Neurospora crassa OR74A: one gene and its partners. The protein of the gene in region 1 interacts with the protein of each later gene in a biochemical or structural test. Links are inferred from orthologs where the notes say so. Each region holds a gene or a part of one and is shown on either strand. Other genes may lie near its edges. The genes, in order: pcn, polh, mus-25 and mus-41.

Region 1 (7,551 bases):
CCGTTATCGCCCATCACGGGGTCCAGCACCCAAAAGAAAGATCCAGGCTTCCCGCGCGCTTGAGCCTTTTCCTTAAGTTCTTTCGCTATCTCCCCCACGGCTTCCAGCGCTGGAGCACCGGGGACGTATCCGGACAGCATCATATCAAAGTCATCGAGGTAGGACTGTTTGAGACCGCGGTAGAGGTCGGTGATTTCGGAAGCGGACACGCGCGTGCCGGTGAATTGGCGGTAGCCCGTATGGTTGCTGAACTGCACCGTGTTGAGGGCGGCGACGTCGCAGCCAAGGGATTGCATGGAGAAGACGGCGATTTTGTTGCCTACGTAGCTGAGGGAAGACACATTGATGTTAGCCAATGCCTTTCTCTTCTTCTTCTTTTTATTCTTTTCCCTTTCGTCTCGTCTCGTCTCGTCTTGTCTGGTTGGGGCTCGGCTGTTCTAGTCGTCATCGGGGGAGGCCGGCGCAAAGCTTGTAGGTAAATCGGAACTTACCCAGAGACAACCTGAACACTCCCAGTCAGCAATTGATTTAACCTGGTATTAATTGAAAAGGAGAAGTAGACTTACATGGCTGGCGACCGCCAACACGCGGGTGTCGGGGACTGGAGGCTCTCCGTCGCTCATGGTGACCTTGGTAGAGTACTTTGTATGCGATTCGGCTTTTGGTTGTTGTAGAGGAAAGATCGAGCTCGAGACTTGTTGTAGAGACCTCCTTCGTTCGAATTGGTTATGTTCGGTAGATGTCCTACGACGTAGAGTGGCGGCGCAAAGGATCTCGATCGTTGGTAGAGAGAGGTACGTAAGCCGAGTAAGCCGAGCTGGCGATTCAACGAACGGTCTGTCAATTCGGTGATATAAATCGTCTCTGTAAAAAATAGTCGGCCGCTTGAAATCTCGACGATATGTTGAGAACTGGTGCCAAAGTTAAACGATGTAGAGAATGTTTGTTGTTGTCAAAAGGAACTAGGTCTGTCTCGAACTCGCAGAAGAAGTCCGAGGAAGGACTGCCAGTGGATGATCACCGGGTCAAGAAAAGATGGAGGAAAGATTCCGGAAAAAGAACTAAGCAAGCAACACTGTGACACACCAAGTGAGTCTGACTCTAGACCTAGTCAGTCAGTCAGCGGTGAAAGAAGAAGACCGTATATAGCCGAAAGATTCGATCAATTGGAAATAGTATCATCAATCAAATAAACTGCGATATCGCCCTCTCGTGCCACCCATTTGCCCACATCTTGATTCGAGTCCTCGAATGGTCCAGAAATTCGCCGCTAACGGTCATGGCACAGGGCCGGCCAGTCAATGACTCTTTTTTTTTTCCCCAGGAACCACCCATGCCCCGCCAAAAAGTTTCCTGCAGGGCGGGTTAGGGGCAACTTGAATGCGGAGTCCATTCAGCTGCTGGGCGCGCCCCGGGCCCTGGGCTGTTGTAGGCGGGAGGGGACGTCACGCAGGTGGTGGGTAGGTAAGTTACATACATTGAATGAACAATGTGGGGAAGCTGGTGAACACCAGGAACTTCATCGGATGAAAAAAAAAAAAAAAAAAAAAAAAAAAAAAAAAAAAAAAAAAAAAAAAAAAAAAAACAGTCGGGTGGAAGATTTCTGGAAAACACGCCGACTGACGGGAAGTGGTGATGTCAGTACTGGTGTACTTGTGATTGAACCCACTTCTGAGATACCTACTTTCAACGCCAAGCTGAACTCCCGAGAAGCGATGATTACCATAGTGATACAGGGAGGACAGTTTGCCGATATCAATGTTAGAAACCATCAGACAAAAAAAAAAAAAAAAAAAAAAAAAAAAAAGGAAACGACAACAGCATCGGGTTCCTTGGTGAAGGTGTGTTGTTGGAGGCCATCGCAATAATCATTGACACCTCGTCGTCTCCCCTAAACATTCATCTTCGCAGCAGAAAGAACAAAACGCCCTCTAAAACATTTGTGTGTAGTGTACTAGTGCCAGACTCTTTCAAAAACACAGATTTCTTTTTCTTCATATCCCTTTTCTTCTTCTCATCACTGCATCACCCCTTATCTTCTACATGACTTGCAATTCTCCTCCTCCCCATGATTTTATAGCAACTCGAGGTATACATGAAGGCATAGTTTCGTGGTGTTCGTAACAAAGATGTGGTTCGGTTGTTGGAGGTAAATGGGGCGTTTACTCCTCGTCGCCAATCTGTGAATCAGAACCAGTTAGCATCACGCCTGACAGAAAACAACCACCCAGAAAATGACAAACAAAGACATACCTTGGGCGCAAGATAGAACCTCAAGTAGCTGCTAGCCGAAATGTTGTACTCGACCAAAAGGGGCACCTCGTTGGAGAGGCAGATCTTGACCGTGCTCGACAGCGCGCTCGCCTTGCAAAAGTTGACCAGGTACTTGAGCGAGAACGTGAGGGAAACCGGCTCGCTCAACTCAATCTCGATATTCTCGCTGGGCTTATCAACGTTGGTGTGCTGGCGGAGGGTAATGCTGCCGTTGCCAATGTCGCCCTGGCAGCTAAACTTGACGCCGTCCTTGCTCGCCTCAATGTTGACGCTCTCGCTCATGGCCATGAGGTCGGTGGTGATGCGCTTAAACTCAGAAGACGGCATGCTGATGGTGGCCGCGTACTCGGTATCCGGAATGCCCAGGTGCTCCTGGTCAATGTCCATGAGCTTGAGGTCGTACTCGGAGATACGGTCGTTTTCGGAAGATTCGAAGACGAGGTTGAGCACGTCGGGCGCGTCCTCGGCCTTGAGCGTCAGGATGTCCTCGTTCTGGGCGGCGCGGAGCACCTTGGTCAGCGACGTCAGGTTGACGCCGAGCGCAATGTTGCGGTCGCACCGGAAGGGCGAGAAGGTCTCCGTCTTGAGCATCATGGACACGAGCGCGACGTGCGAGTTGTCCATGGCTTGCAGGGCGATGCCCGAGTCGTTGCAGTCGAAGTTGCAGTCCTGCACGAGGTCCTTGATGGCGTCGACGACCTGGACATCATCGTCATCATCATGACAGAGTTAGTGGGGGTCTTCTAGCTGGGAAAGGAAACAGACAGCACTTGACAGGAAGAGGACATGACATACCTTCTTCAGGATCGACGCCTGCTCCAACCGTGCTTCAAGCATTTCTGTTGTTGTGGTAGTCCTCCAGTCAGCAACCCATCACTCCAGTTCTCCAGCTTTTCTTCCTAGTGCCGGGCCAGCGAGCAAGCGAGCAGGCAGCTTCACGCTCAGACAGAGACGACATACTGATGGATGTGAATTACCGAACTCGACGGGGGAAAAAAAGACAAAGAGGGAAGAAAATATGCGCGCGCTGGGTATCACTTTCGGGAGAGAGAGGCGCTCGTGGTTTGACGAAGAAAGAAGAGAGAAGAAAAGATTTGGATTTGGGAAGAGTTATGGTTTTGTTCAAAAAGCTGCAACAGGCAGGCAATGGACGATAAAAAGAGAGGAACCACCAATACCACAGGTGGTGCCGGGACACCCACTTCGCGACTTGACGCGCCTGCTAATGGCAGCTAAACGCGCTGAGCCGGGGTTAGGCTTAATTGATTTACCGCTTCAGGCTAGCTCCCGGTGCACGGTCCCGTTCTCCAGCGCTGTTAGTCCGCTTTCAGGCGCAATCTTCGCGTTTTCAGTGGGAGCTGTCGCCCTGAATCCCCTCTTTCTGTTTGGATCGTGTCTCGACGGCAATGTCGAACCAAAGGTATGCTGCTCACTTCAAGTTCCGATGATATGACTTCAACTATTCGACTCCCTCATTTCTGCGCGAACTCTGTTCTACCTCCATTCTCCAATATATTTTGATTATTACATTATTTCACCTATCTTACACCCTCCCCCAACTCAAAAAAGAATTTGTTACAGAATGCCCGCCCAAGATCGTCTGTATAAACTGTGTAAACGCCGTTAAATTCTGTGTCCCACATTGCTCGCTTGCCTGCCCCAGCTTTCAAATGTTCCCATGGTCTGTATGTCCGTCAAAACGCCATTCTACCCAAAGTTGTTGTTGTTGTTGCTGTTGTTGCTTTTCAAGAAAACTGGCAAGCTGACCTTCTCGTCGTTGTTGTTCGCCCCTCTCTTTTGTCTGCGCGCAATGCCTTGATGCCATGTAAGATTATAGTGGTCAAAGAAAAGAAACCCGAAAGAAAGACAGCGCGAATGCCGCAGAGTTTGTCTGTCGTCATAAAGAAATCCTCGTCGGCGCCGCACTCCTGCCGTTTCCCCCGCCTGGTCCCATGGTTGTATGTCTCTTCGGCCTCAGATTAATCACCATCTCCAACTCCTTCAACATGCCCCTACTCGCTTCCGCCTTCTCTCTCTGCATTGCCCTCATCTCTCTCTCCTCTTTCATTTTCACCAATCTCTCTTCCCTGGTCAGCATACTCCTGGGCCGAGCCGATAGCGCAACCGCCTCAAACACATCCGGCTCGTTGGGACTTGGCGAGGAGTTTCGTGTGGGAGACGTCTCCCCGGTGAGCGCTTTCAGCGCATCCTCCGCTCCGCCGCCGGTTTCGTTCTCTTCGCCGACAGTGGTCAACCCGCTTAGAGAGGTAGCAGGCGAGTACAGCATGCTCATAGACGAAATACGTTTCTCGTTGCGGTCGATTCCCGATGCTAGGGCAGCCTTGCCATCCTCCCAGGCTTGCTGCAGCATCTTGAGGTCTTGGCCAATGGACTCGTATTGCGACAGGAGGTCGAAACCAACTTCAGAGATGTCGTCGGCTTCGTTGAGTGCTTTCTCGGATTCTTCACGCAATAGTGCCAGCTTGGCTTGGAGACCGCGGATGCCCGTCGATAGAGAGTCGAGCTTGCGGAATTGCGTTCGGCGTTTCTCGCGGTTGGGCGAAAGAGGGAACTTGGTTTCGGGGATAGCGGGGAAGCCTGAGTGGTTTTGTTAGCTGTTGTGTGTTTGTAGTGTGCAAGAATACGGGATGAAACTCACTCTCTTCATCGCTCAAGATGAGACGAAGCCTCTCGTAGCAATCACCTGTCAGACTGCTCAGCTGGCTGAGACACTGAGCCGCCGTCGACCACCGCACAAAGTCGCTGTTATCTCCCGTAGCCTCAAACGCAAGCAAAGCGCAGAGAAGCAGCTTGCGGATGGTATGGAACCGAGCAGCGGCAATTTTGAGCACCCGTAACGACTCCGCCTCCTCCGTCGCGACCTCCGGAAACCCTTGCATCGCATCGGAAACGTCAAAGTCGGTAATGTCGTAAACGTCGTAGTACTTTTCCAGATCCAACTGTTCCGAGAGTCCCTTCACCGCTGTCGTCACTTGGATGTAACTCTTGATCATATCGGCAAACCGCTGCTTGAGAGCCTTGCGCAGGCGTCCGCATCGTCTCGTTTGGCTTCGGTCTTCGATTCTGCTGATAGGCGGTAGTGGTGCGCTCCTGGTTATTGTTAGCCGCAGTTAACCCCAATATCCTCCGGAAGACCATACTCACAGCCTATACCCCCTCGACACCAACTCAACCTCCTGAACAAGCGACAGCGCCGCACTCGTAGCACTATCCCAATCCTGACTCTTCGCCACAAAAGTAGCAACCTCTGCCAGCGCCTTGTTCCGCACATATCTCAGCCACTGCTTCCGGATATAAAAGTGCGCCACCAATCCCACCGCAACGGCAACCACGACGGCAACCAGCACCCCCTTTTTGGTCAGACGAGCATATCCTCCCAAACACAACCACCTTATCCCCAACGCCACCACCAACGCTCCCGCAGCCGTCGCAACCAGCCCCGTCGAGTTCGGTAGTACGACATCGTTATTTTGCTCTTTCGAACTATCGGCATCCTGATTTCGGTAAAAGTGATTAAGTCCAGCAACCGAGTGCCCACTCAACAACTGCGAAGCGACGATCGTATATCGGAACTGCTCGATGAATTTCTGGTTGTCGGCGCGGTCTATCCTCGCTGTTACGGCTTTCTTTTCACCACGAACAAACGTCATTAGTTCAACACACATGGCCCCTATGATTTGAGCGTAAAAGATCCTTACAGAATAGGAGTCATGTAGCGAGCCGAGCGAGCTGTATCGCTTCATGCGGTGTGGGATCTCGAGTTGTATTGGCTCAGGGGCGTTCTTTCGGAACCGCTTGCGGACCATGGGGCGGCCTACGGGAGCGAAGTTGGGAGAAGAGGGGGGTGAGATGCTGTGTTCGGAGAGGCGGTCATCGTGGGCATCGTGGAACTGGCCATTGTGGTCGGACTCGGAGGCTGGCGGTGTTGGCCAGTCATTGTTGCGTGTTTCTTCGCCTTGATCTGTCATGGCAAGTAAGTGATGCTGTGCTTTAGAGATGGACAGTGAGTAGGTAAGCGAACCCTTGAGATAATTGGCAAGAGGCTCGCAATCCTGAATTACGGTCTCCATGGATGCCACTACGACCGGACAACGACTCGGACAATGATGGGACTCGGACAAGAGAACGGAAGAGGAGCATCCAACAAAGAAACGGGAGGTCGATATGTGGTGCTAGCTCTCCATCTGACGCCAGGCGGCACTCTGAACAAGGAAGAAAGAAAGAAAGAGGAGTGTGCTTGTCCCCTTGTTTCGACGGAGTACAGATACCAGGCCGGCGGCACCACGCAGTTTCCTTGTTTCAAGTCCTGGTTCCTCCTTCGATCGTGTTTAATGTCCGTTATTCTGCAGAGCTAAAGCTAGGCGTGGGTCGGTGTGGCTGAGATCTGGGAATCGGTGGGTTTTCTGGGTGTCGCTTATGCTATGCGAGGTGGTCGAGACGTGCGAAAGCAAAGTGCGGCGCAAGGTGGAATGTTGGAGTACCTGAGTAGTGTTGGTACTAGCGCTGTCGGTTATCGGTGCATATGCCCTTTTGTCTTTGTTGTTCCGACAAACGTTGTCAAGATTCGATCGATCGTTGGTTTATCGTGGTCTATCGTGGTCTGGATGGTTGTATGTTGTTGTCGATGTTGAAAAGGAGTGTCAAGGTTCAGTTGGAAATTGGTGTAAGTGACTAGTACAGTAAGTACTACTGATGACCGCTTGAAACGGGGTCCAGGTCGTACGGGAAACGGGCAACTGGCGACGTCCGAGCCTTGAACGAGCGAGCGGCTGGCGTTGTCCAAAATGAGAAATTGTTAATTGTGACAAGTGCCAATACTAGTGGAATGATTATCAGTTATGGAAGCCTTTTCTTCTCCGTGAATTTAGTGTTTCTCTCCACAGCTGAGTCCCAAAATAACACTCTTGATGGTCCTGGGGATGCTCATTAAAGAGGTCACAGAACCCTGGCAGATGACGTGAAATTTGACGCCACTCGTTCTGCAACTCGCCAACCAAGGGGGGGGGGGGGGGTGGATTCTTAGGATTCTGTATCTTACCGGCTTTGCTGTGATGATCTGCTGCCCGTCTCTCTCCAGTCCAGTAACCAAATGCCAGCAAAGTGAAAAGTTGGAAGATTGAAAAAAAGGCCCAACGTCGCACAGTTATGTCACTCCCAGAAGTGATCCATAGACCATGAGCTCAGCTCAGCCTTGATATCGGTGAAGAAGGGGCTCCAACAGAAGTGGAAGGCTGGGAGATCCAACCATCAATCCCT
Region 2 (8,040 bases), about 7.5 Mb from region 1:
GGTGTCAACAATCGGCCTGCCAGACTGGAGACTCCAGTGCCAATTGCCAAGTAGTGCAAACAGTCAGAAGTCAAACCTGGTGATGAGGCTGGCGTTGTTTTTTGACTTCCATTCTGAGGATTCTATTGGCTGTGTGGGTTGTTGTGGAAACGCCACAATCGCACGCGGAGGTGTGGGTGCCAATTAATCAACCGCAGGCGTCAACCCTCGGTGGTAACTCGTACCAGTCAAGAAAGAAATGGACACAGAGCGCTGCCAACGCCATACATACTGTAAAAGATTTTCCAGCGTCAAGGTGAACGCAAGGAAGGCCGCTGTTTTGGTAGTGGGTATTCGGTGACCCGTTTGGGCGTCAAGGGCGCAAAACATGAGCTCGACCGGGTGCGCAAAGATAAACTGAATGTGGGGACAATGAAGGCCTGACTTCAGACGGAATCAATAAAGCCATTCGTTGAGAAAATCATACCACAAAAGTTGATGTCAATAGAAGACATTTCGGATTTATACATAAGGAACAAAACGACCTCAAATGTCTACTACTGTGTGGTGCCATGAGGTCGTCTACCGACGGGTCTGGATGTCTTGCGTAGAATCAAGGCGGTCTTCGCAGAGTCACTGTCATATAGCACTCAATATTTAGGCGGCAAGCCTATGGTGATGGTTGGGAAGAGATGGACAACCAATGTGATTACATATCGAAAGCTGAAGGGTCGGGGCCAGACGCCAGACAGTGCTGGCTGACAGGCTGAAGGTGGCACATGGATGAAAGAGTCGCTTCGTCGCCGTGACATGTGTGAGGACAAGAATTCAAGAAATCATTTCGAGCATCCGACATGGTTTCCACATACCAATGGGTCGCCGACGTCGTGTGTGGAATTATGACCTATATGCCCATGCCGTAGCTTCTTCCACGCGGGTTGAAATGCATTTAAGACAAATTGGGCTAGCGAAAGGCTGTGTGAAGATACTTTCTAGTGGGCTTCGTGATGGAGACGCAATGGGGAAGCAATGGATCTGGGAACGGGCGGGTTCTGGCAACAATCGGGTATCAATGCGTCTGGAAGTCTGGAAGCCCAACCTTTCTGCAACGCCGCAAGCTGCCGCATGAGATGGGGTCTCCTCGCAGCCAATCAGCTTTGTCCGATGCTTCGGTTGGTGAGGGTGTAAGCTCGACAACAAGGCGGCCGTTTGGCTCTGAGCACGCTCACTGCCCCTAGTGATCATGGCCGAATTGATCCTTTCTTCCCACATCGGCAAGTAACCCTAGTGCAGAACATGCTCCTGCGTCGTATTTTTATTCTGGTGTACCAACCAAAGGGGCACATGCCGTCTCCGCCAGTTTGTCATACAGGGCCCCGATCATGACGAGTATCTGGACGCCAAATCAGACACAGACATTGACGACACTTTTTGTCCGTTTGTCTGGAGCTTTCTTGCTTCCGTCATGGTCCATGTTTGCCATAACAGTCTCCCGATGCTTTCGTGGAAGTCCCTTAAACTTACGAGTCTCTCAGTGACCTGTGAGGAAATCGAGCAGCAACTCTCACGAGCTCAACTCATTGCGCGCAGATTGAAGTTTTATCTTCCAGAGGGCGTTCCAACAAGTATAGGAGCTTGATAGCCTCCCCATAGATTCGGCTGCCATGTAGCAAAATGTGCTTCACGAGATTTTCGGAAGTGAGACTGCCGACCCGTTACCACCCATTAAATGCCAGAAGGGCATCGTGGATCTGTCCAAGCATTGATTGGTTTGTCCCTGGATTCTCGGTCACCGCCAGAACGCAGACTTTGGTGAGATGCCGTAGTCAATCCCGTCGCGCAGCTGAAGACGAACACCTGCAGCGAATCTGAAGAGCAAACCGTCCTCCACAAAGACTGCATGTGCAATCTTGAATAGCTTGGTCAGAGGCACCTTTTGATATCAAGCGTCGTGTTGTGGATTCATGCATTGAATTCTCCACCTGTGCGCTCATGTCACTTTGCCGTTTTCAGGGCATCGTGTCATGAAAATCGCGATAGCCTGTTCAACCGAACTTGAGTTTGCTTTGCCCGCGCTCGACCTTCTTAGGTCTACCTTGTCGCTTCGGCATCGTGCTTGTGGATTTTTGATTGCCGGCACGCGAGCTAGACGCTGATGGCTGATTGACGAATGTCTGGCTGACACGTTCTTGTTCTTGGAGCTCTTTGGCAAAATGCCAGTCCTGATGGCTTTGCAGTTCCTCGGGGCTATCGAGGCTGGCGTTGCATCGCGAGCACGTCAATGTGATGATTGGGCCGGGTTCTGATTCAGACTTCCCGTTATATACCTCATCGCCTTTGCCCACCCCCTCTGAACCGGCCGGCTCACCTGACATGACCTCCTCTTTCAGGGTGCCCAACCTTTGACCGCTTTGACCACTGATGGCCGTATCGTCGGAGCCCAACCCAGGATTAGCACCGTGGGATAACTCTCTCTTTGCGAAAAATCGTTCTATCCCGCCGTTATCCAGGCGCCTTCGCTTCTCTGCCGGGCGGATCTCGGTTTCAGAGTCAACCGTCGCTGTCCCTGACCCCGTCTTGCTTGCCTGAGCCTCCTCGCCCTTCAACAAGAAAGCGCCAATGCCCATGTTTCCAGTGACACCATCCTCAAATCCTCCAACGCTAAGGCTGAGGTTGGAACATGGCCAAACCTGACCCTCGGAAACAATCTGGCTTAACAAGTTCCTGGCCAGCTCTAGCAAACTCTCTTCGTCGAGCTTACGGCCTTGAGGGATAGGACCCTGACGTGACCGGGTTTGAGTGCCGTGACGGTGATGGAGATTGATGGTCTTAGGCCTCCGCTTATTTTCCAAAACACCTTCTTCGACCAACCGGGAAAAAATGTCAGCGGCAAAAATGCGCAGCCATCTGACAGCCTGCTCGAAGGAGGTTATACTAGGACGAAAGGACTTGGCCGACAGCATCGACTTGATTTGGACGCGCGGGTTTACCTCGCTGGTATCGATCCCACGCACGGTGTTGTAGACCCAGACGCCTGTGTCATCGCCTAGCTTCGATTTTAGCTGCTCCACCGAAGCGCTGAGCAAGTCTTTGACCGTGTCTGTGTGAAACATCTGACTGATTTGTTCGCCCAGCTTGCCGCCAAGGTTCCGCATCTTTGTGAACTTGAAGTCGGACAGAAAATGCTGAATTGAACGATTCCGAAGCACCGTCTGTTGGTTGGGCTTTCGGTAAGCCGAGCCCAACTTGCTCAACAGCTTATTACAGGCTACACCTGCGGAGCACGTGTATCCAAGCTTATCTTTGATGGCTATCCGCACCTTGCGCACAATTTCTGAGCCTATAAGAATAGCCACGTCGTCCCAGTCCGGATCCTCAAGTTCAGCGTTTTCGTCTGGCAGGTCTACCAGCGCATCAGCCTGCCAGTCGAGAGCGGTGATGGATGGCATGGGTAGCATCTCGGTCGGGTCATCGTATGGGGGAGGGTTGGCAAGCTCGGGAAAACGTTCGAGCAGGATAGTGTGCACTTGTGCCGAGAGGTCCATAAACACCTCATCGATGCTCGCTTTCTCCACCTTTTGAAGATGAGGTGGGAGTTCTTCTTTGATGATAGCCAGAATCTTACGGGATTCAAGTCGGTAAGGGTCTAAGGACACTTTGTGCGTCGCCATGTTGGCCGCGGCATCCGGGTGGTAATCCCACTTGGCATCGCCTTCTCTCCATGTTGCAACGTGTTGATGTATAAGATCCGGGCAGAGCTTTTTTGCTTCCGACACGTTGCAATGCCGGCCGATGCCAAAGCTACGAGCAGGATAGTTGACTGCAATCAATCCCTGCCTATACAAGGTCAGTTTGACGTCAGAGAATGCCCAATAGGCACATTTGGAGACTGGGTTTACCATTGCTGAACGGCAACGGGCTTGTCGTCTGGTATCCCTAGTCGCACCATTTCTACCTGAGCGTAGAAGCAATCGAGATCCAGGTGAGCAATGACCCTGAGCGGACACGAAGTACTCGAGGCAGCGAGTTGCTGGATGTGACGATACGTGAACCGTGAACGCTTCATGCCGGGAGCGCCCGCGGGAGACAAGTCGCGAAAGGACTGCATATGGGGCGGTGACGACATGGCAGCGTATGGGCGGAATCTAAAGCCAAGGGTGTCGTCATTTTCATTCGGTCGGGCGGGCTATGAAGACGGGCCGGCTACGGCAATCAGAGTCGTGGTGATCGCGGATGGCCGAGAGACGTTCATCGGTGACGGAGGCGCATGAAGACGGCGTCGCGACGGGTGGTTGTGAGAGTGCCGAAGTCACGTCGAACGGAGCAAAAGCGCGCTAAGGTAAGGTGGGAACTGCCGCGTAGTCCAGTGTCCAGACTGCCCTGTGGAAACTGTTTGGAAGCTGACAGGATCGGAGGAAGTTCGAGCCGGGAGGTCCCCCACAGCGGGTAACTCGATAGATACATCCGCGCCTATCAGTGATGAGATCCCCACGTGCGGGAGTCCCACCCTGCAGGTCACGACTCTGCTGTGCCAACTCCAGTTACATAGCTATGTACCTCTGGAGGCGGTAAATCATCATCGAACTGAAATGCAGAGCCGCGAAGTCATCCCGCGTTTTAGCCTAACCCTTCAGTCCAAAAGGGCCCCTTCCCGCATATGCGAGATACGCTAGACATGTACACCTGACCTGAAGTTGATGTGGCAGAACGAACGGTCCACAATACAGCCCGTATTCTGCCCAAACACGCCAATGCCTACATCGCCTAGTAAGGCGCGGGCGGGGGCAGGGGGGAAGGGGGGTTACATGAACGGATGCTATCGATGTTGCGTTCGAGATATCTAATGTAGTGTAGGGACTTGCGCGCGGGGATACCTAGGCACCTTGCCGACTGCTCTAGTCTTGGAAAACTCGAAGTCCTGGGCTACCATCACATATCAACACCACCTCACGGCATCACGACGACAGGGTTCTCAACCAGTTATATTGTGCCGAAGTCGCGGCTAGAAGTATGTGCTTTGAACATACAATCGTCTACAAGCAAATGCGCATGGTCCATCACACGTTCGACGAGCGACTTTAGTCCTGCCCTGGAGAAAGAACGAACGAGATACTACAGCCAAATGGTCTCCTCCGATACTCTCTACGCAACCTGAGAATCGGGAACTTGAACCCAAATGACAACTCACCACCTGCATACATACTGAGTTACCATATGTTCCACACGTGGGGGTTATACGATGCAATGAACCCTACGATACTACCAGTTCGCACGATGCATCATTTTCTGTTATCATCGGTTATCACTCGTCCTTCAGATTGCACTCGGATTTCCTTCGGTTCCGTCCACATCCTGTCAGTCCATGTTGGTCTCTCAGAGTTCCACTGGAGTTGCGTCACGCTATTGAGATCAAGTACGCAGGGCTTACCATATTGGAGTCGGTTAGGTAGGAATCAAGCAGCGGCACTGCATGATTGCAATTGCAACAAGCGCCATGCTTCTGACCTTTACGTTCAACGCTATCGAACTTCCACTTTTTCAGGATATGGGTAGTAACAAGGACTGTGCTCGGCCGGCTCGAAAAAAAAGTTTCGTGTGGATGGAGAGGGTAAAGTCACTGAAGAGGTTACCACAAAGGGGAACATGCTGGGAAGTTGTATAGAAATAGTACCTGACTTCGTTGGTGAAAGGAAGAAAGAGCCTCGAAACACTACCTGCTCATACCCGGAGAAATAGCAGTTCGACACCATACATGAGTGCCGACCGTAAGCCAGCATTAAAGTATCTAATCAAGAGTAAAAGAAACATGACCGCCGGGCCCTTCGCTGAGCGCCGGCAAAAGTCTAGAAACCAAAATAGTATGGTAAACAGAGGACATAGACAAATGGAAGGGGGTATCTAGATTAATAAGTTGAAGTTGATCACAAGTTCGCCGACCCATGGGCCCGGTCCTGTGATTCCTGCTCCTGCTTCTTTTGTTTCCTCTCTTTGGCCTGTGATTTCGACGACAACTCCTTCTTCGATGTGGTAAACCCCTTCTCGTCGTCGGTTAGGTGCGGAAGCCTAAACCTTTCTCGCACTCGCAGATATATGGGGCCCATTTCGTAAAAGCTCTCGTTGTTCTCGTACGTTGCGCAAGGTGAGTCCTTGAGGGGCAGTAGCCAGTCAATGATGCTGTTGCCCATGACGGATTTCCAGTTTCGATAGAAGCCTAGATCCCACGGGTTCTCGCCCAGCTCGGTTTTCACGACAGCAAAGGTGCGCGTTGCGAGCATATCCCTCATATTGGCCACGCCTCTTGCACCGACGTCTCCAGGTAACGGAGTGCCCAAGTCTCCGGATTTCGATATCGGATATGTGACGACCTTGTACTTTTCACAGGATTGGATGCCTCTCGGGACCCGAATGGCCAGGTTATGCACGAAGTTTTTGGACTTGAGGTAGTCGATATTTGTCATGTTCTGCAGCGCATATCGCGCGGATGTGATGAACATGGTTACGGCAAAAAATCCCAGAAGGCCGGATAAAGCCAATATGGCGACCACAAAACCATCAAGGCCGTGACCGGTATGAAGTCGTTGCCTCGTGCAAACAGCGCAAGCAGTGATAACTACTATGGAGCAAAGCGATGCGTAAAACGTGAACTGGATGAAGTACTTAAACGCTGCGCACCAGGATTAGCCGAGTCCGCCATCAGATGTATCGATTATTTCTTTCCACTTACACGTCTCACCCACGATTCCCCCAACCCACGGGCAATAGTGATCCATCTTCTTGACGCATCGATCGATTTCACTGCAGTGATGCGCCCTGTCTGGCTTCCAGGTGCAACAACTGTGACACCATCGCGGCTTTCCGTCTGATTCGCAGATAAAAACGTCTTTGCTGTAAAAGGACTCGAGCCCAGGGCTATCAGGGTCATCGTCTGGTCCGACATTACTGTAGGCGTTGGCCTCTATATCGCCGGTCTGTTTATGCTTGTGCCGTCGCCAACTTGGTTTCTCTTTTTCTTCTTTTTCCAACCGCCATATCGCTCGCTGCCCGAGGGGAACAACGCCGGGATTTAGTTGAATAACCAGGAATAGTCGTATATAGGTCAAGAGCATGAACGTGAAAGTGACGAGGTAGAAGACGAGGAATGCGATCGCAGCGCTGGGTTCTTGACGCCTATGGAGGAAGTGATCCACTGTAAGAGGGTTCCGGTCAGTGGAAAAGCTCCGCGTCAGACGGACTTGCAGGAGCTCCACATCTGTCGGGGAGGGAACATGCTGGGTGACATCACCCGGGGACAGAGAGCAGTTATTGAAGTGGAAGTTGGAGATTGGGGAAAACAACCAGGGACATACCGCAGACTCTCTTGGCCGTGGTGTATGTTGTCAGACCGAAACACACAGCTAGGAAAACAGGCATAAATCGCGTCACCCATCTCGTCTCGGACCGGCGCGCTCGAACGGAACTCATTTCGTCCCCAACCCTCAAGGCATGGAATGTGGTGTTGTCGTAGCGCAATGGGATATACGCGTCGAAAGTCAGCGATCAGGGTCGTCGGTGGCGCTTCGGACGAACGAGGTACGGGTTGGGGCGTTTATTCGCTTGTACGCAGGCTAGTGCATCAGGCTGTCGATGTTGTGGGATGAAAGGTGTCAATCGCAATGGTCGGTCGGCAGGAGGAGTTGGCGCGGCGGGATGACAAAAAGCGGACGGAGGGCGAGATTTCAGGAGGCAAGTGGAATACCGCCTGCTCATATGAGAATCGCCGTCGTTCGGAGGGGACCGCAGCGTTTAGTTGCGACGCCGTATGTTGGTCGCTGCCGTTGGTCTGGACAGTTCTTGCGCCGGCGTCCAAGGATGCGCTCAAAGATGAAATGCCATAATTTAGATCGGAGGTTTGCTTCGGTTCGACAATGCAAGACATTGGATCATCCAGTCTTTCAACGCACATCTGGGCTGTTGGAACCGGTTTGGAAACCTGCCCTGGCCCCTGGCCGCAGCGGGGAGATCAGCCCCGTAGGGGCGCGTCCAGTGCCTGCGCAAGAGCCGGGGACCCACACCGTTGGCCGC
Region 3 (8,078 bases), on another chromosome or scaffold:
CTTCTTTGTTGCGGTCATCAACCCTGCCAGTGAGATGGGCCAGAAGTGGGCTCCCATCCTCAAGGTCCTTTCCGAACTTGAGGGTGTTCATCTGCAAGTATTTGTCAATCCACAGACTGAACTATCGGAGCTCCCCGTCAAGAGGTTCTACCGTTACGTCCTGGAATCTGCTCCCAGCTTCGATGAAAGCGGCAAGGTAAAAGCCTTGTCGGCGACCTTCAACGGAGTGCCACCAGAGACTCTCCTCGTTGCCGGCATGGATGTCCCGCCTGCTTGGCTCGTCGCCTCCAAAGTCTCCGTCGACGATCTCGACAACCTTCGTCTCAAGGACATCAAAGCCAAGAGAAACACAGAGCACGTAGAAGCCATCTACGAACTGGAAAACATTCTGATCGAGGGTCACTCCCGGGAATTCCCGTCCGGCTCACCTCCGCGCGGCGTGCAGCTCGTCTTAGCAACCGAGAAACACCCCCACTTCGCCGACACCATCATCATGGCCAATCTCGGCTACTTCCAATTCAAGGCCAACCCAGGCATGTACAGCATCCACCTCATGGAGGGCCGTAGCTCCGACATCTTCACGCTCGACAGCGTCGGCGCCCAAGGCTGGTCCCCCGTCCCCGGCGACGAAACCACCGAGGTCGCCTTGCTGTCTTTCCAGGGCGCCACGCTCTACCCCCGCCTGACCCGCAAGCCAGGCATGGAGCGCGAAGACGTTCTTCAGGACGAGACCACACCCCAAGACGAATCGCTCGTCTCCAAGGGTCTCAAATTCGCCGAGGGCCTCTTTGGAAGCAAGAAGCCCACCGAAAAGTCCGTATCCGAGACCGAACACGCAGAAATCAACATCTTCTCCGTCGCCTCCGGCCATCTGTACGAGCGCATGCTCTCCATCATGATCCTTTCCGTCATGGAGCACACAGACCACTCGGTAAAATTCTGGTTCATCGAGCAGTTTCTCTCCCCCTCATTCAAATCCTTCCTCCCCCACCTGGCCGCCGAATACGGGTTCAAATACGAGATGGTCGCCTACAAATGGCCGCACTGGCTACGGCACCAATCGGAAAAGCAGCGCGAAATCTGGGGCTACAAGATTTTGTTTTTGGACGTCCTCTTCCCCTTGAGCTTGGACAAGGTCATTTTCGTGGACGCGGACCAGGTCGTCCGTACGGACATGTACGACCTCGTCAGCCTCGACCTGGAGGGGGCGCCCTACGGGTTCACGCCCATGTGCGACTCGCGAACCGAAATGGAAGGCTTCCGCTTCTGGAAGACGGGTTACTGGGCCAACTACCTGCGGGGCCAGCCGTACCACATCTCGGCGCTGTACGTGGTTGATCTGCGCCGCTTCAGGGAGCTGGCCGCTGGCGATCGGTTGAGGCAGCAGTATCATACGCTGAGCGCGGACCCGAATAGTCTGGCGAATCTGGACCAGGATCTGCCGAATCATATGCAGTTCCAGATCCCGATCAAGAGTCTGCCGCAGGAGTGGTTGTGGTGCGAGACGTGGTGTTCTGATGAGACGCTGACGAAGGCGAGGACGATTGATTTGTGTAATAATCCAATGACGAAGGAGCCCAAGTTGGAGAGGGCGAGGAGGCAGGTGCCTGAGTGGACGGTTTATGACGAGGAGGTTGCGGCGTTGGCTAAGAGGGTCAGGGAGCAGGAAGAAAAGAAGGCTGGGGAAGTTTTGGAGGGGAAGAAGGTTGAGGAGCAAGTGATTGTGGAGGAGAAACATGAGGAGAAGGAGCATGTCATTGATGAGTTGTAGATCTGCAAAGCGAGGTGTCATGGCATGGGTGGGTGTTAGTTAGTCCTGTTAATGTAGCGTGCGCCTATAGTAAGTACATTTGATAGATGATATATAACCTACTTCTCAGGTCCTTCTTACAACCAGCTGAAGGTCATGAACATCAAATACTGCGCTATATAGACAGTAAACCGCCACTGGAGTCTTCACTAACCCCAGCAGCTGATCGAAGGATGAATGCTACTGATAGTTTACGTAGTGTGATGATTGTTACGATGTCTAGCGATATGTGTATTTGTAAATCGTCCCATAACATAACAGACCCGAAACACCAAAACACCGTACGCTACATGATACTTGTTTCTCAGCTGAATCTCACCATCCGACGACACCCAAAACTCCATCAGGCTGCGTTGATTGCACGCACCCTCTTACCCAGCATCCCCACCCTCCTCGAAAAGAGAGAGAAAGAAAAAAGAAGAAGAAAGGACAAACCACCCACTCAATGAGAAATATACTGAAACACAGCACTAACATCCCTCTCCCCAACCTCCTGCCTCAACAAATGATCATGAATGCTCTTCATCCCTCCACTACCACCATTCGGGTCGCCGCCCTTTCCACTCTTACCCGCCGCGTCCTCGCCCTCCCAATGGTTAACAAAGTGATTCCAAGTACTAGTATCGCCATACAACATGGCCTGCGCCTTCATATACTGCCTCCCATCCGGTTTACACCGCTTACACTTGAACGTGTCATGGGTATCGCTCTTGGTCCCGGGTCTATAAGTGAACAGCTCGCGCAGCGAGTCCAGAGAAAAGTGTCTCTCCACATCCTCGGCGCTGTCGACGACGCACGACGACAGGGATTGCTTGTGGCTCTGCCGCTGGAAGATCTTTTCTTCAATGGTACCCGTGGCGATGAAGCGATAGACAAAACAGTCCTTCTTCTGGCCATCACGCCACACACGCGCCAGCGCCTGCTGATCCGCTGCTGGATTCCAGTCCGGGTCGAAGAGGACGAGCCGGTTGGCACCAATCAGGTTGAGGCCGCACCCACCGGCTTTGGAAGAGAGCAAAAAGACAAACTCGTCGCCTTCCGGGTCGTTGAACTTGTCGACAAGTTTTTGGCGTTTGTTGACGTTCATGGTACCGTCTAGTCGGAGACAACCGTATTGCCGGTTGCGGCAGAGACGCTCAAAGAGGTCAAGCGTTTGGGTGTAGTTGCTGATGAGCACAATCTTGTCATTGGTGTCGGCGCGGATGCGGGCGAGCATGCGGTCGAGCACTTGCATCTTTCCGGAGTACCATGGCTTGACGTCGCGGTCACGGCCACGCGCTTCCTTTGGTACGTAGTCTTCTGGCCAGTACTGCTCACAGCCAGGCAGATCGGCCGATAGGTCGAGCAGGTCTGGGTGGTTGCAGAGCTTCTTGAGGATGTTGATGGCCTTGAGAGGTTGAGAGCCCTTGCCGCGCAGGAGAGCTTGGATGTCGGGGGAGGCGACAAAGTAGTTATACAAGTCAAGCTGGAAGGGAGCGAGGTTGCAGAAGACAACGTGCTCGTACTTCACGGGGAGGTACTTGGAAAGAATGTCGTTGGTACGACGAATGATGAACTTGTTGACGATGGCAAGGAGTTCAACCAGGCACTCGTCACCACGCTTCCGCTCAGCTTCCGAGGCGTCAGCATCGCGGCCGCGTAGAATCGGAATCTCGAAGCGTTTGCGGAACTCGAGACGAGTACCGAGGAGATCCGGGTTGGCGAAGCTGATCAGAGCAAAGTACTCTGACAGGTCGTTCTGAATGGGTGTACCCGACAAGATGACCCTCCTCGAAACATTCAGGCTGTTCAAGGCACTGAACGTCTGACTGTCTCCGTTCTTCAGGCGGTGGCCCTCGTCGCAAAGCATCAACCCAATGGGAGTCCCCTTAAGCTCGTCCACATTAAGCCTTAGCGTCTCGTACGAGACAATAATCACCGGTCTCGTCACGGACCGTCCACTGGCAATCGCCCACTGCCGCAGCTGCCTCGTCAACTCCTCCTTCGAGGCCTTTCCATCAATGGCAAAGGGCGTGATAGCGTCCGCGCCCAACCATTTGACCAACTCATTCGCCCAATTCCTGACCAAACTTGATGGACACGCCACAATCGCCTTTTGGATCGTTGACTTTCCAGCATCCGGCGACTGCTTCAACAGCGTCCACAGTAGCGTGATGCACTGCAACGTCTTTCCCAAGCCCATCTCGTCTGCCATGATGCAACCATTCGCCTTCTCATCAATCATGCCCGTCACGCACCGGTACATGAACCGGACACCCTCGATCTGATGCGGCCGCAGCACCTTGGCCAGCCTGGGATCAATGACCACTGGGACACGAGGGTGCTCACCCTCGACTTTCTTCTTGATGCCCAGAATCTCCGCCAGACTCTTGTGCACCAGCGGCGCATCAACCTTGACCTCTGGTTCTTCCTTCTTTTCTTCAATGGCCTCTGGCGCCGTATCCTTGGGCTTATCATCCACTGTCGGATCATACAGCACAATAGCAAACTCGTCGCACGGGTCATGCAGCGGCTTAGCCACAAAGACGGCGCCCTGTCTCAGGCCGAGCGTGGGTGGGGGGCGGTTTGGGTTGTACGCGGTCGTGTTCTTGTTGATGAGCGGCACGGAGAACGCCTTGCGGAATACCTGCGACTTGTCTTTGACCGCGAACACGGGGAACTTGTTGGCGTCGCGGTTGGCGAGGGCGAGCCGGTCGGCGTTGGTGTAGGGCTTGTCGGCGCCATCCTCGTCGTCTTCGCCACCAGCACCTTTATAATCGATCTTTCTGCGCTTTCGTGCCGGCCGGTCGACGGCTACGGTGCGCGTCGCGGAGCCGGGGCATTTGAACGGCTTGGTGAGTTTGTCGAGGGATTGAGGTGTGGGGAACTTGCTGCGTTGAGTGAGAGCGAGACTGTTGGTGCTGTTGTCCTTGGAGGCGGCCTTGGGTGTTGAGACCATGGATGCTGACCTATCGAGATCCAGAGTGTTACTTAGTAGCCGGATGTTGAGAGTGGTGATGTTGGTGATCAATGGTAATAGGAATACATGGGGAGGTTACGGTGTCTGCTTACATCTTCGCTGTAAGGAACGGGCTTTGTTACAACGGCCTCGGTAGCTCCCTAGGAACAACGCTAGACCTGTTTCTCTATTTGGGAGTTTTTTTATTTCACGCCCGTCACTCAAAAGAACAACAACCGAAAAATCCGGAAGGCAAATGAGGGGGGAAGAAAAAAAAAACCACCGCAAAAAGACTGAGAAGCGGGCTCCAGGCAGGAAGATGGCGATTGGCGCCTGCTTACCTTAACAATGTTGACTAAACACAGACTGGACGCGAAGATCGGAAGGGTGGGGGGCGAATCGCGCCTTCCTCACACGGTATCACATGATCTTGGCTAGCTTTCCCTGTTAAGTAGTTACGTAGGTGACTACGCAGTACTATGCACAGTGTGTGGCCAATCCTAACCCTTGATTGTTCGTCTCCACTTTTGCATCATCCACAGTTTCGTCTGATTGGTCACTGTTTGTCACACCTAACAATGCCGTCGTCGTCGTTCTATGTTGAGGGCATTCGCAAATGCTCCTCAGTGAGACCTATGGTCCAGACCGACAAGTGCCAGGAAGGTATTAAATATGTATTCTCAAGTCGTAAGCACCCCAGAAAGTAACGATAGACAGAATTTGTCGTGCATGCATGCTCGCTTGCTCTATGCCATGGTATAACGTAAAGGAAGTGTGTGTGTGTGTGTGTTTGTGGTGTTTAGCGATAAAAGATCCCCGTCCCCATAAAGTCACGCTTGTCATCTTCGCCAAAATCTACCTTGAACGCCTTTGGCCCCTCTTTCTCTTTCTTTCCCAAGCTCTTCACGACATACCATATCATCCATCCATTATGTTGTCCCTTAGCCCTTGACCTCCCTTTCCAGCGACGCATCCATGACCTCACCAGGTGAAGGTTCGCCTTCTCCATCACTGTCAACCACATCCTCACCCCTTGCCGCGCGTCTCGCGTTCTCCCTTTCACGGTAAATCTCCGACCTCCTGATATCTGCCTCGCGCAGGCTGTCTACATACGTCCTGTACTTCACAATCTCGTTGAGGAGATGCTGGCTCTTCTTCTCCCAGTTGGTCATCGCCTTGGCCGCGTTCACTGATCGAGGCGAGAATGCCAGAAGCATAGGACTCCTGAGCGAATTATGCTTTTGGAAATCTTCTTCAAGACTCCTGACGTAGGCGATGAGATGCCCAAACTGTTCACGCTCCGAAAGGGTGCTGGGCCGGAGGGACTGCGAGGGCGGTGTCCACTCGGCAATGTGAATCTTATCGCCTGGTAGCTTCGAGGACGATGATGCGTGGTTGGGACGGGGGAGTGCGCCGGGGCCGCTGAATGTGACACCGAGGGCGCCGCTGCTGGCCGAGCTTCCCGGCCGACCAAAGTCGAAAGAAGAGCTTCTAACACTGCGTCGACTATGGAGCGAGGCACGGCTGCCAGAGATCGTGCTGGAAACCGCCATCGCTGCCATTGCCGATGCCGCGTTTGCTGCGCTGCCAGGGCGTGAATGGCCCTTGTAGTTGCTGCTGACGCTGTTGCTAGCAGGACGCCCGGTAGTTCCACCGCCGCCGCCGCCGCCGCCACCTGTGTTGTTCAGGTCGCCATTACTTTGGATGCCAGACACCCGGGTCGAGTTGATGACCGCATCACTCCAGCCGTATTCGATATTGGAGACACCGCCTATCATGGGATGGGTGCTTGACCGCGCGCTCCAATAGTTGGCTGTAGTCACAAATTCCCTGCAAATCTCGGCCGTTCCGACCTGGAACAAATGGAGCGCCCCATTAGGTAACGACAAACACCAGACGTGCGGACGGGCTCGCGAATAGCCTGGTGGCGGCATAATCGTCGCCAGTGTCTGGCGCAGCGAAAACGTGCCCACTTTTACCGCATTGTCTTGCCAGTTGCCACCACCAACAACTCCTCCCTTTGGTGCGTTACTGCGCATTCCCCTTTTCCTGCTCGTTGATTTGTTTGGAGAGAAGGAGAACAAGCTTAGCTGTCCCTTTTGGATGACTGCAAAAACCTCGTTCCATGTACGTTCCTTGGACCGTTTGTCGACGGTTTCCATGTGGTGTTTGTGCGTAACAATACCCTCCTTGACCCATGGAGGACCGGCTAATTCCAGGGACTCGTCTTCCAGCAGCTCCCCGGCGTTGAAATCCTCCGTCTTGCTGATCGCGAGATCAAGTGTGTTGTCTTCGCGTATGATGGCCTGACTAAGCGCATTTGCAAACCCAATCGATTGTTGATAGTCGCCACGGAAGGAGGAACCAAAAGAGTCCATGGACATGGTCGTGTGGGTCCTACCCAGCGACGCTTTGCTCCAGGTCGCCGAGGATTCGGTGGGGCTCCAAAGTGAGTTCCCGTCGTCAAAGCTAGTCCGGCTCGAATTAAAGCTAGTTCCAAAGCCTCTTGGCCTCGACCGACTCTTTGAGTTCCATCTGGATGAATTCGCCTTGGGCCCTTCGGGAATCCTACCCCGAGTGGAAGCCATACCCTCCGATGGCGCTTTACTCAGTACACTAGGGCTCCGCTTGAGCACACCCATAACCGATAAGCTGCCTTGGGCGGTTGTTGAGAGACCCGTCGTATTGGTGGCACCGCCAAATAACGGTAGGCTTTCGTCGCGGATGGATGAGTAGATGTCTTTGAGGACTGCTTCGACCTGCGATTCCCATCCCTTCAAGGGCCCATCAAAGGGCGCTCTTACGAGAGGTCCGCAACTGTCAGCGGTAGACGAATCTGTTATTGTACCAAAGCCGGACGTCGGCCGTGCTGGCGGCTTGAAAGAATGTCTGAAACTGTGTTTGTTGTCTTCACTAGAGTTGCGACGGTTGCCCTCAACGCCAAGACTGGCACCTTTGCCAGGTAGAATACTGGGACGTTCAAATGCTTCTGGATTCGAATCCTCGAGTGCCTGTCGGATCGTGGTCATGGTGTTCTTGATGAACTGGCTCTTGGTCATCTTGTGTTCAATATCAGCCATATGCAAGTCCGTATTGAGGAGCATGATGGAGTAGCAAATGGTGTGAATGATGTCTGTAACGTAGATTGTCAGCGCAAGAAACACTTCAACTGCATTTCAAGCAGGACTTACCCATTGATTTGAACCCATGGTTGGGATTGCATTCACACCATCGGTTGGAGAAAGCGACCAGAATCCGATCAACCTGCTGGGTTTCCGCCCTCAAAAGGAGGCGGTTGCAAAGCTGTCGCAAACTAGCACAAACACTCAT
Region 4 (7,987 bases), on another chromosome or scaffold:
GGGATATCTCTATCCAGGCATTGCCTAAACATTGAGTTTCAAGGTATATTGGAGATGCTCGGGTGCGTAGTAAGCGTAAACACAAGGTATAATGTCAAAGGTTTCAAGTCCAAGGTTTCAGTAACAATGTCAGGAACAAGGCACCTTGGTTTGTCAACTTTGATGGCGACAATCATAACGACCCGACCATCCAGATTTCCAAAACTCAGAAGTTTCCACGCTTTCCCCGTAGTCGTAGAGTCACCTACACCTCCGGGTCGCTTGACCTGCTTGGTGCCAACGTTAGAATTGGGGCTCTGGTATGCGCGATTCTATTGCTCTATGAAGACCTGAGATGGCCCTATGTACGAGATAGGTAAGTATACCGACGCCGCTGCATGCAAGAAAAGGACCTCGGGACGCCTAACAACGAAAATGGATTGGATTGCAGTTTCCCCTGACATCCGGCATACATATCGATACGCTTAGTCTGAGCTCAACAGCTCCTTGATATCCTCGATCCTCTGCATCTTCTTTTCCTCGTCTGACATCATCCCCAGTGATGTTGCTCTGCAGTCAAATCAGGTTAGCCTTTTACCTACCTCCAGTCAATGTCATTAAATCACTGATCGGGGACAAACTCACATAAACTTTTTCCTCTCCTGCACCCGCAACATCCTCATTTCCACACTCTGTTTCACTATAAATCGATAAACCCTCACCTCATCCTCTTGCCCCATGCGATGCACACGATCAATCGCCTGCGCCTCCACCGCAAAGGACCACCACGGGTCCATCATGTAGACCCTCTTGGCACTGGTCAGGTTCAACCCGACACCACCCGCTTTGAGACTGAGAAGCAAAACGCAAAACTTGTTGGTGGATTGAAACTCGGTAAGAACAGCGGCGCGGGCCTTCTGGGACATGGACCCATCCAGCCGAAGAAAAGAGATCTTGTGACGTGTGAGGGCGGAGGATATCAGCGAGAGAAAGGATGTGAATTGGGAAATTACGAGGGACTTCATTTTGGGGTGCTCTTGACGCAAGGTGCGGAGGTGTGAGATTAGAGCGACGATTTTGGCGCTGGAGTCATTGGCGCCCACGCGTTGTAGGGAGATGCGCGGCTCGGGACTTGCCCCTGGGGTAGAGGATGTCTCCAGGTCATCATCGTGGCGGATGACTTCGAAGATGTCGCGGATGTTGATGTGCTCGCGACATTGGAAACACCGCGGGACCTCGTTACGGTCGGTTTGATGTTTGATATAGTCGAGCAGACATTTCTTGCACGCAGAATGCCAGCATCCTGTCACGGCCTGGTCGATCATTGGTTCTTCGGCGCAGATGGGGCATTCGTTGACTGCTTCGTCACGGATCTGTCTAAGAACGTGAGCGCCGAAGTTGTTGTTGGTTTTGGAGGCGTCGTCTGTGGTGGCGGTGAAGCGCTCGATCAGAGTTTGGAGATCCATATCGTCTGCCAAACCCGCCGCAACGTCAGCGGCCATATTGGCTTCCTCCTCATCAGCGAGGATCTCCTGGTTGCGAACAAGCACAGGGTGACAGCAGGACTGCCGGAGCCGCAAGATCTGTGCAAAAATGGAGGTAAACGCCTTCATGACGGTGCCGGCCTGCATATTGTCAAAGAGCGTTCGCTTGGCGCGGTTGAAGACGTAGTCGTAGACTGCCCTTTCAGGCTCGGAGAGTTCGATGTCGACGATCTCGATGTGTTTGGGCGGAAGCGGAACAAGGAACTGGCCATCCGGGGTCTTCATGTCTTTGGTGCGGCGCATGACGAGCGGTTCGAGGACGGTTTGGACGACGTCTAAGGCGCGGACAAAGTTCTTGGACTCAAAGGGGACGGTGATGAAGGTCCGCCAGAAGGAAAAATTGTTCCATGGCTCAACGCGTAGGAAACGGACCAGGCTGAAGAGGTCTTCGAGGCGATTGACAATGGGGGTTCCGGTGAGGACCCAGCGGTGTTCGGCGGCAATTTCGTAGCATGCGCGGGAGGTCTTAGCTTGGCGGTTCTTGATATTATGTGCTTCGTCCAGAATGACACGGAAGAAGTTGAGGGAGAAAAGCCCGCGGCTGCTGAGTCTGTCTCCATTCTTGGTGGCGAGTTGGGTAAACTCGGAGAGGACGACTCCATAGCTGGTGATGATCACATCTGGAGCGTTGGCCGCGTTGGCTTCGCAGCACATGGTCACCAGATCGACATTCTTTTCCGCCCCGTAGTACATCATGGTCTTGAACGTGCCCTCCTTGGAAGCATTCTCAGCTTCGCTTTGCCATTGCGCCAGCAAGGACATGGGGGCAACCACAAGGGTTGTGCACGGAGCGTCAATTGTCGTCTTCTGTCCAGAGACTGTTGGTAGGCGTGGGAGGTTGTTGACCGAGGTAGGGCCAGCCTCCCGCGCCTTGATGGCTACTTCGGATCGGTGAGAATGGATCAGGGAAAGCATCTGGATGGTTTTGCCTGTGATACATGACTGTGAGCTGGATATCAGGTCAAAGAGAAAAGAAAAATGTAAAAGGCAAACCCACCAAGTCCCATCTCGTCTGCCAAGATTCCACCAAGACAATGCTGCTCTTGTTTGGGGAAGTCCAGTGACAGATCGCCAGAGTATGGGTTGACGTAGAAGCAAGGTTGGTCAGGAACCACAGGTAGGTCCTTATCGTCATGGTCCTTGGTCGGCCACACGTACTCTTCCCATAGGGGATGCATGGATGTTTCACGGTCTTCTGTTCGCTGGTTCTTCTCCTTGGCCAGCATCCAGTACAGCGACTGCTTCTGGTAGGGACGCAAGGTCATGGCGAAGGTATTAGCTGGTTCAGCCTCGGGGGTGCTAAAGTCGAAGGATTGGGCCTTCTTGTACAGCGCGTCGAGTTGGTCTTGTTCGAGCTCCTGGCCCTCTTCGGCCTCTTCGGGGGGAGAAGCTAATCCGTTAGTGTTGTGGTCCCCAGCCTTGGCCTTGTCCATCGCCTTCTTCTCGGCCGAATCTGCTGCTTCAAGAAGGTCTTTCCTGGCGTCCTTGGCGGCAGCGGCGTTGCCTCGAGACGGAACAATGTTGATCTCTTGAAACAGTCTGACAAGCGCCACTTGTCTCAGTCGCAGGTCCTTCTCTTCTGTTGTCTCGTCTTTCTCGTGGAACCCGGCAGCCCTATTGTCGGCTAGTTGGAGGGTTCTCCCCAAGAAGGCAGACCGTAGCATGTAGCACTTGAGCTGCAAGAAGACGGTCTCGTTCGTTCGTAGACGCTCGGGCGCGTAAACACAGATGCCTTCGAATCTGCAGATGTTCTGGTCTATTAGCGTTGACACCCAGTTGGCTGTGTCTTTGGCTAGACGGCCGAGTTCCCTGCCACTGGCGTCGTTGAAGCGGACTATGACATCGACACGTTTGGCAGCTGCCGCGCTGACTCGTGGTATGGACTGCGGGGTGCCAGGCTTGGTCTGCCCTTTTCTTGCAACGGTAGGTGGTTGGATCTTTTGGCGCTCAATCTTGACGCTGTCACCGTGTCTGAGGAGGCCTGTCCCGCTTCTGGTAGCCCATCCCTCAACACCAAATGCGCCGACGTAGCGGGCGTCTGGCATTGATGGGAGAACCTTTGTTGGTGTGTTCGATTGCGGCTGTGGTTGGGCTTGAGCGTGCGACCGGGACCGTGCTTGTGATGTTGATGATTTCTTGGGAGACTGACCTCCTACAACCAGGGGCGAATGCGAGTTGACTCTGACTGGAGGCGCCCGGTGCAGCTTTTTCCATGTTCCATCCAGGTACATGTTGACGGCTCTTTCGATGTTGTTGCCGCAGTTCTTGCTGATGACGTGGAGGATATCGGACGCAACCTTTTCGCCAACAAAAGCTTCGAATGTGTCTTTGTCGAAGGCCAGCTGGGGGGACTCGACCACTGGGGGTGCCACGTCCCGGGGTGTCGCGATCGGAGTATCGACGTCTTTCAAGAGATATCCTTTTCTAGGGTCTGGTTTGGGCATGTCGTTGAGCCAGGGAGCACATATCTTCGTGGCGTGGGGCGTTAGGGTGCCATCGTCTGTGAAGAATCTTGGGCGTTCTTCGTCGTCGTCGTCGTCGTCGTCGTCGTCGTCGTCATTGTGGTCCGCATCTTTGGAAACTCGTGGCTGGACTTCACTGTTTGGGTCTTGGAGGAGTTTCTTCCTGGGTGGTGAGCTCGGGGGAGCACTGAACTGGGGAGACGAGCTGGGGCCGCCAGCGACATGGTCCGAATCACCCTGGTCGCCCAGGAACCGGCGCTTCTTGGAGAGAGGCTCGTTGGTGAAGTCCATGGTGTCGTGTCGGTCCATCCAGGTGTTGGTTGTTCAGCCCATTAGGTTCAAGGTAGGTACAGTACCTCTAGGTAGTCGTACCACGGGTGTACGGTATCAGTCAGCTACTGTCACCCAACCGACTCGAATGCACCAACTGCAATGGTGAACTTCAGTGTTGCGCCTGTGAGACGCGACTGTGCCGTGGCAACCGTGAAACTTTGGCGTGCATTCGTTTCCGCCTTCCCGCTGTCAGGTGATTGCGCGCCACCCTAGAGGTAATTAATTACGCCCTCTGCAGTGTACAGTCCAGTGCTGGGTTGTTTGTTAGCTGGGTACACTAGGTACTGTACCATACTCTATACACTAGACGAAACCTAATCTATCCCAATTAGTCCTAAACCCTCTAAGAAGAGATCGAAATAGTTGGTATAAAGGTTAAAAGATATTAGTACTATTTGATATGGCATTCAGAATATTACAAATGGTGTATCCATGGTAAGATCACGCATTGATTAGCTATGAAAACGCATCGGAAAGTTGATGCGAGGTCTCGAACTAACAAGCAAACCAGTACTGGATTGTATGGAAAGCCAGAAGCTTGGGCCACTGAAGCCATTTAATGCCGTCATCGCTGCTAACCATAAAGGCTTTAGAGGCGCCGCGCTTGTGATGCTGAGGGGCGCAGCGTAACATGGTCTCAGCGAATTGTCAAATCAACATGTCCTGTCGTCGTCGGCTTGTCTTCCTCCCCGCTGCTGCCGAGGTTGTCTTGTCTCTTGTTACAGTGAGAGATGTGAACCACTTTGTGACAGCGGGGAAAACAGTACCGCTTCTTTGATCATGATATCCCCTCGAGCGGCAGGTTGTTGTCATGGCCTGGGGCGGGCACCTCTACGGCCCCGTCTACGTCTCCAGCCTCAGAGGCCTTCGTGGCAGCCTTCCCTCTCCGGACGAGGCCTCGCGACAGTCACAGACGGCGACGTCGAAAAGGCCCGTCAGTACTGTGAGAACCAGCTCAAGTCTGTCTCTGCTTTCCCTCCCCATACCTAGCCATTCTTCCCACTTGCCCTTCTTTCTCTGCTAACTCTTTCTCCCCCCACCCCAGACATGGTGACTACGAAGCTTTTCTCCTCCGACAATTCGTCCCTCCTTCCTCTCGGGACGCCTACAACGCCCTCCGTACCCTGAACCTCGAACTTGCCCGTCTCCCCGAGACAGTTTCCAACCCGACCATCGCACGCATGCGCATGTCCTTTTGGCGTGAAACCGTGAACAGCGTCTTTGCCGGCAATCCCCCACGCGAGCCCATCTCCATCCTCCTCCACCAAGCCATCCAAGACCTCAAAGCCCGCGCCGGCCCCAACAGCGCCAGCTCTCTCAAGTTCTGGCTCCTACGCTTGATCAACACGCGCGAGCAACACATGGAAAACAGGCCCTTTGTCAGCTTGAACTCGCTGGAAGACTACGCCGAGAATACGTACGCGACGCTGATGTATGTGACCTTGGCTTCCATGCCTTTGCGATCAGTACATATGGACCACCTGGCTAGTCACATCGGCAAGGCGTGCGGCATCGTAGCCACACTACGCGGCATTCCCGTTCTCGCCGCTCCATCGCAGCCCATCCAGGGTCCGGCTGGGAGCGTGGGCAACACCCGGCATCCCGCCCTGCTACTACCCCTCGATGTGATGGCCGAGGTGGGGGTCAGAGAAGAAGATGTCTTTCGCCACGGACCCAACGCTGAGGGACTGCAGGATTCCGTGTTCAAGGTGGCTACAAGGGCCAATGACCATTTGATAACGGCGAGGGAGATGTTGAAGAACTTGAAGGCCGGGGAAGAGGTGGGCCATGATTATGAGCATGAGGGAGAACAAGAGCATATCTACTCCAGCGGTGGGGTCGACGCAACACAAGCTGATATCAAGAGGGGGTTTGGGGTGCTGTTGGAAGCAGTCCCGGCTGCCGATTACTTGGAAAGGTTGGAGAAGGCTGATTTCGACCCGTTCAAAGTCAAGGCGAGCTGGAAGCTTCCCTGGAGGTTGTGGCGTGCTCTAAAGACACAGCACATTTGAGTCCTCTGTTTGTGCCGTATACGAGGCCAACGAGCCACAATCGAGATTCTTCTTTCCATCACGTATCGTACTCTTGGTGCTGACCGTCTGTGACGACACAGGATCGATCTCGATCGAGACCGCGAGCGTACACTCCGTGACTATCGCTTAGCCCGATTATCATGAATAGGCAAAAGTCTGCAATCGTCGACAGCATCGGCCCAGGTCTTCTTGTCCCTTTGAAACAGCACGAAGCGTCCTCGAGGCAAAGTGTTGACATGGTCTCGGTAGGACCATCGTACGACAGAGAGGCACATGACCCCTTTGCAGATGGTGGTAGTTGAAAGCACAACATCCATCACCAAGACCGATATTGCTTGCAATCTGGGGCAGAGCAACCACTTTGTAAGAGCGTTCCGTGTGGCGTGTTCTCGCCGGGCCTGAGTAGTGGGAACATGGGTAACGGCTACATTTTAGCCTATAATTGTACCTCTGCGAACACCCAAACCATCTTCGTTCAGGCCCAATCACCCCCAAGCTCACCCACCAACTTCTGGCCTATCACCAAGAATAAAGACCGTCGTTCGCAATCGGTTTTCAAGATAGTGAGTGGCCCTGCGGCTTGCTCTTCCGCCGAAGGATTTCCACTACAGGGCTGGCATTTCGCTAGTAGTTCTAGTCGCCCTCGCCTCGGTCTCGTCAAGAATCCTCGACAAGGTTGCAGGGTCGCATTGACAGGTGCCGACGCGTGTCCTTTGTCCATATTCCGTACAAACTTTTGTTTCAACGTCATTCAGCCCAAGTTGCCAAGAGCTTGGAATGACTGCTGAACATGTTCATCAATCTTGGCATATGTGAAGGAAGCAATCTGTAGGCTGATATGTTAGCCGGACCAATCACTGGCGAACTTCCACACACTGCCTCCCTCCGAATCTCTAATCCGCAACGGCTCGACGGGATCCCTACAGTCACATAACTCTCCGTATCAAATACCTCACGGTCAAAGACCGCCGAGACGGCTCAGTGACTAACCCCCCGGGGAGCTTGATGCCGTGTTCTTGCGTTATAACCCCCGCAATTCATTATGTCCAGCCGTGGGAAGCTGGAAGGGCCTAATGTTCATCCCATTTTTTAACATCTCTTGTGTGCCAAAAGGGGAAAGAACAGAAACAGCTCCGATAGGCCAGTATCTTATGACCGGTTCGACAAGATGAAGCACTCACCAAGCTATATCATCCCTACTGAGCTGCCTTCCGTACATCGCCAGGCTTCAGACTTGGTCGTCCCATCCCACTAAATAGGTTTTTACTCCGATCCAATACCTCGTCCATCATGTGGCTTCCACTCATCCTCCTCACTGCCACGGCGGCCCCCATCCTCGCCAACCCCCTAAGCTCTCCACTCAACAAGCGTGCCGCCATCGACGACTGCCTCAAATCTGCCGGCGTTCCAGCCGATGCTCAAGGCTCCTCCGAGTGGCGTACCGACGTCAACCCTTTCAACCAGCGCCTGCCCTACACGCCAGTAGCCATCGCGGTCCCTACCACCATTGAACACATCCAAGGTGCCGTCTCCTGTGCCACCAAGCTGGGAATTAAAGTTACCCCCAAGTCAGGAGGGCACAGTTATGCTTCGTTTGGTCTGGGCGGAGAGAACGGGCATCTGGTCGTGGAGTTGG

Evidence for each region.
Region 2: the proteins of pcn (region 1) and polh form a complex in vitro, tested with the Saccharomyces cerevisiae proteins (9 studies listed by BioGRID, with this or other methods). The link is inferred for Neurospora crassa OR74A from reciprocal best matches to the Saccharomyces cerevisiae genes POL30 and RAD30.
Region 3: the proteins of pcn (region 1) and mus-25 form a complex in vitro, tested with the Saccharomyces cerevisiae proteins (3 studies listed by BioGRID). The link is inferred for Neurospora crassa OR74A from reciprocal best matches to the Saccharomyces cerevisiae genes POL30 and RAD54.
Region 4: of the proteins of pcn (region 1) and mus-41, one has a biochemical effect on the other in vitro, tested with the Saccharomyces cerevisiae proteins (5 studies listed by BioGRID, with this or other methods). The link is inferred for Neurospora crassa OR74A from reciprocal best matches to the Saccharomyces cerevisiae genes POL30 and RAD5.

The regions. Positions count from the first base shown.
Region 1 is NC_026501.1:9,444,314-9,451,864, reverse strand, and holds pcn (proliferating cell nuclear antigen), read right to left. Parts: upstream 3,471-7,551; 5' UTR 3,235-3,470; intron 3,114-3,234; 5' UTR 3,112-3,113; coding exon 3,070-3,111; intron 2,974-3,069; coding exon 2,254-2,973; intron 2,181-2,253; coding exon 2,163-2,180; 3' UTR 1,808-2,162; downstream 1-1,807. Other genes in the region: NCU10351 (pyridoxine kinase), read right to left, coding at 1-327, 492-502, 567-623; NCU09240 (hypothetical protein), read right to left, coding at 4,172-4,872, 4,934-5,385, 5,440-6,263. UniProt on the Saccharomyces cerevisiae protein: This protein is an auxiliary protein of DNA polymerase delta and is involved in the control of eukaryotic DNA replication by increasing the polymerase's processibility during elongation of the leading strand. Involved in DNA repair.
Region 2 is NC_026501.1:1,954,013-1,962,052, forward strand, and holds polh (sister chromatid cohesion protein Eso1), read right to left. Parts: upstream 4,352-8,040; 5' UTR 4,106-4,351; coding exon 3,879-4,105; intron 3,817-3,878; coding exon 2,025-3,816; 3' UTR 673-2,024; downstream 1-672. Other genes in the region: NCU16343 (hypothetical protein), read left to right, coding at 5,194-5,532; NCU01935 (palmitoyltransferase PFA5), read right to left, coding at 5,901-6,643, 6,704-7,165, 7,326-7,440. UniProt on the Saccharomyces cerevisiae protein: DNA polymerase specifically involved in DNA repair. Plays an important role in translesion synthesis, where the normal high fidelity DNA polymerases cannot proceed and DNA synthesis stalls. Plays an important role in the repair of UV-induced pyrimidine dimers.
Region 3 is NC_026507.1:2,821,020-2,829,097, forward strand, and holds mus-25 (DNA repair and recombination protein RAD54), read right to left. Parts: upstream 5,105-8,078; 5' UTR 4,864-5,104; coding exon 4,862-4,863; intron 4,759-4,861; coding exon 2,253-4,758; 3' UTR 1,802-2,252; downstream 1-1,801. Other genes in the region: NCU02349 (UDP-glucose:glycoprotein glucosyltransferase), read left to right, coding at 1-1,771; NCU02347 (Sec7 domain-containing protein), read right to left, coding at 5,690-7,881, 7,940-8,078. UniProt on the Saccharomyces cerevisiae protein: Plays an essential role in homologous recombination (HR) which is a major pathway for repairing DNA double-strand breaks (DSBs), single-stranded DNA (ssDNA) gaps, and stalled or collapsed replication forks.
Region 4 is NC_026503.1:34,185-42,171, reverse strand, and holds mus-41 (DNA repair protein rad-5), read right to left. Parts: upstream 4,481-7,987; 5' UTR 4,295-4,480; coding exon 2,521-4,294; intron 2,453-2,520; coding exon 625-2,452; intron 550-624; coding exon 465-549; 3' UTR 295-464; downstream 1-294. Other genes in the region: NCU09517 (hypothetical protein), read left to right, coding at 5,099-5,277, 5,364-6,330; NCU09518 (glucooligosaccharide oxidase), read left to right, coding at 7,642-7,987. UniProt on the Saccharomyces cerevisiae protein: Probable helicase, member of the UBC2/RAD6 epistasis group. Functions with the DNA repair protein RAD18 in error-free postreplication DNA repair.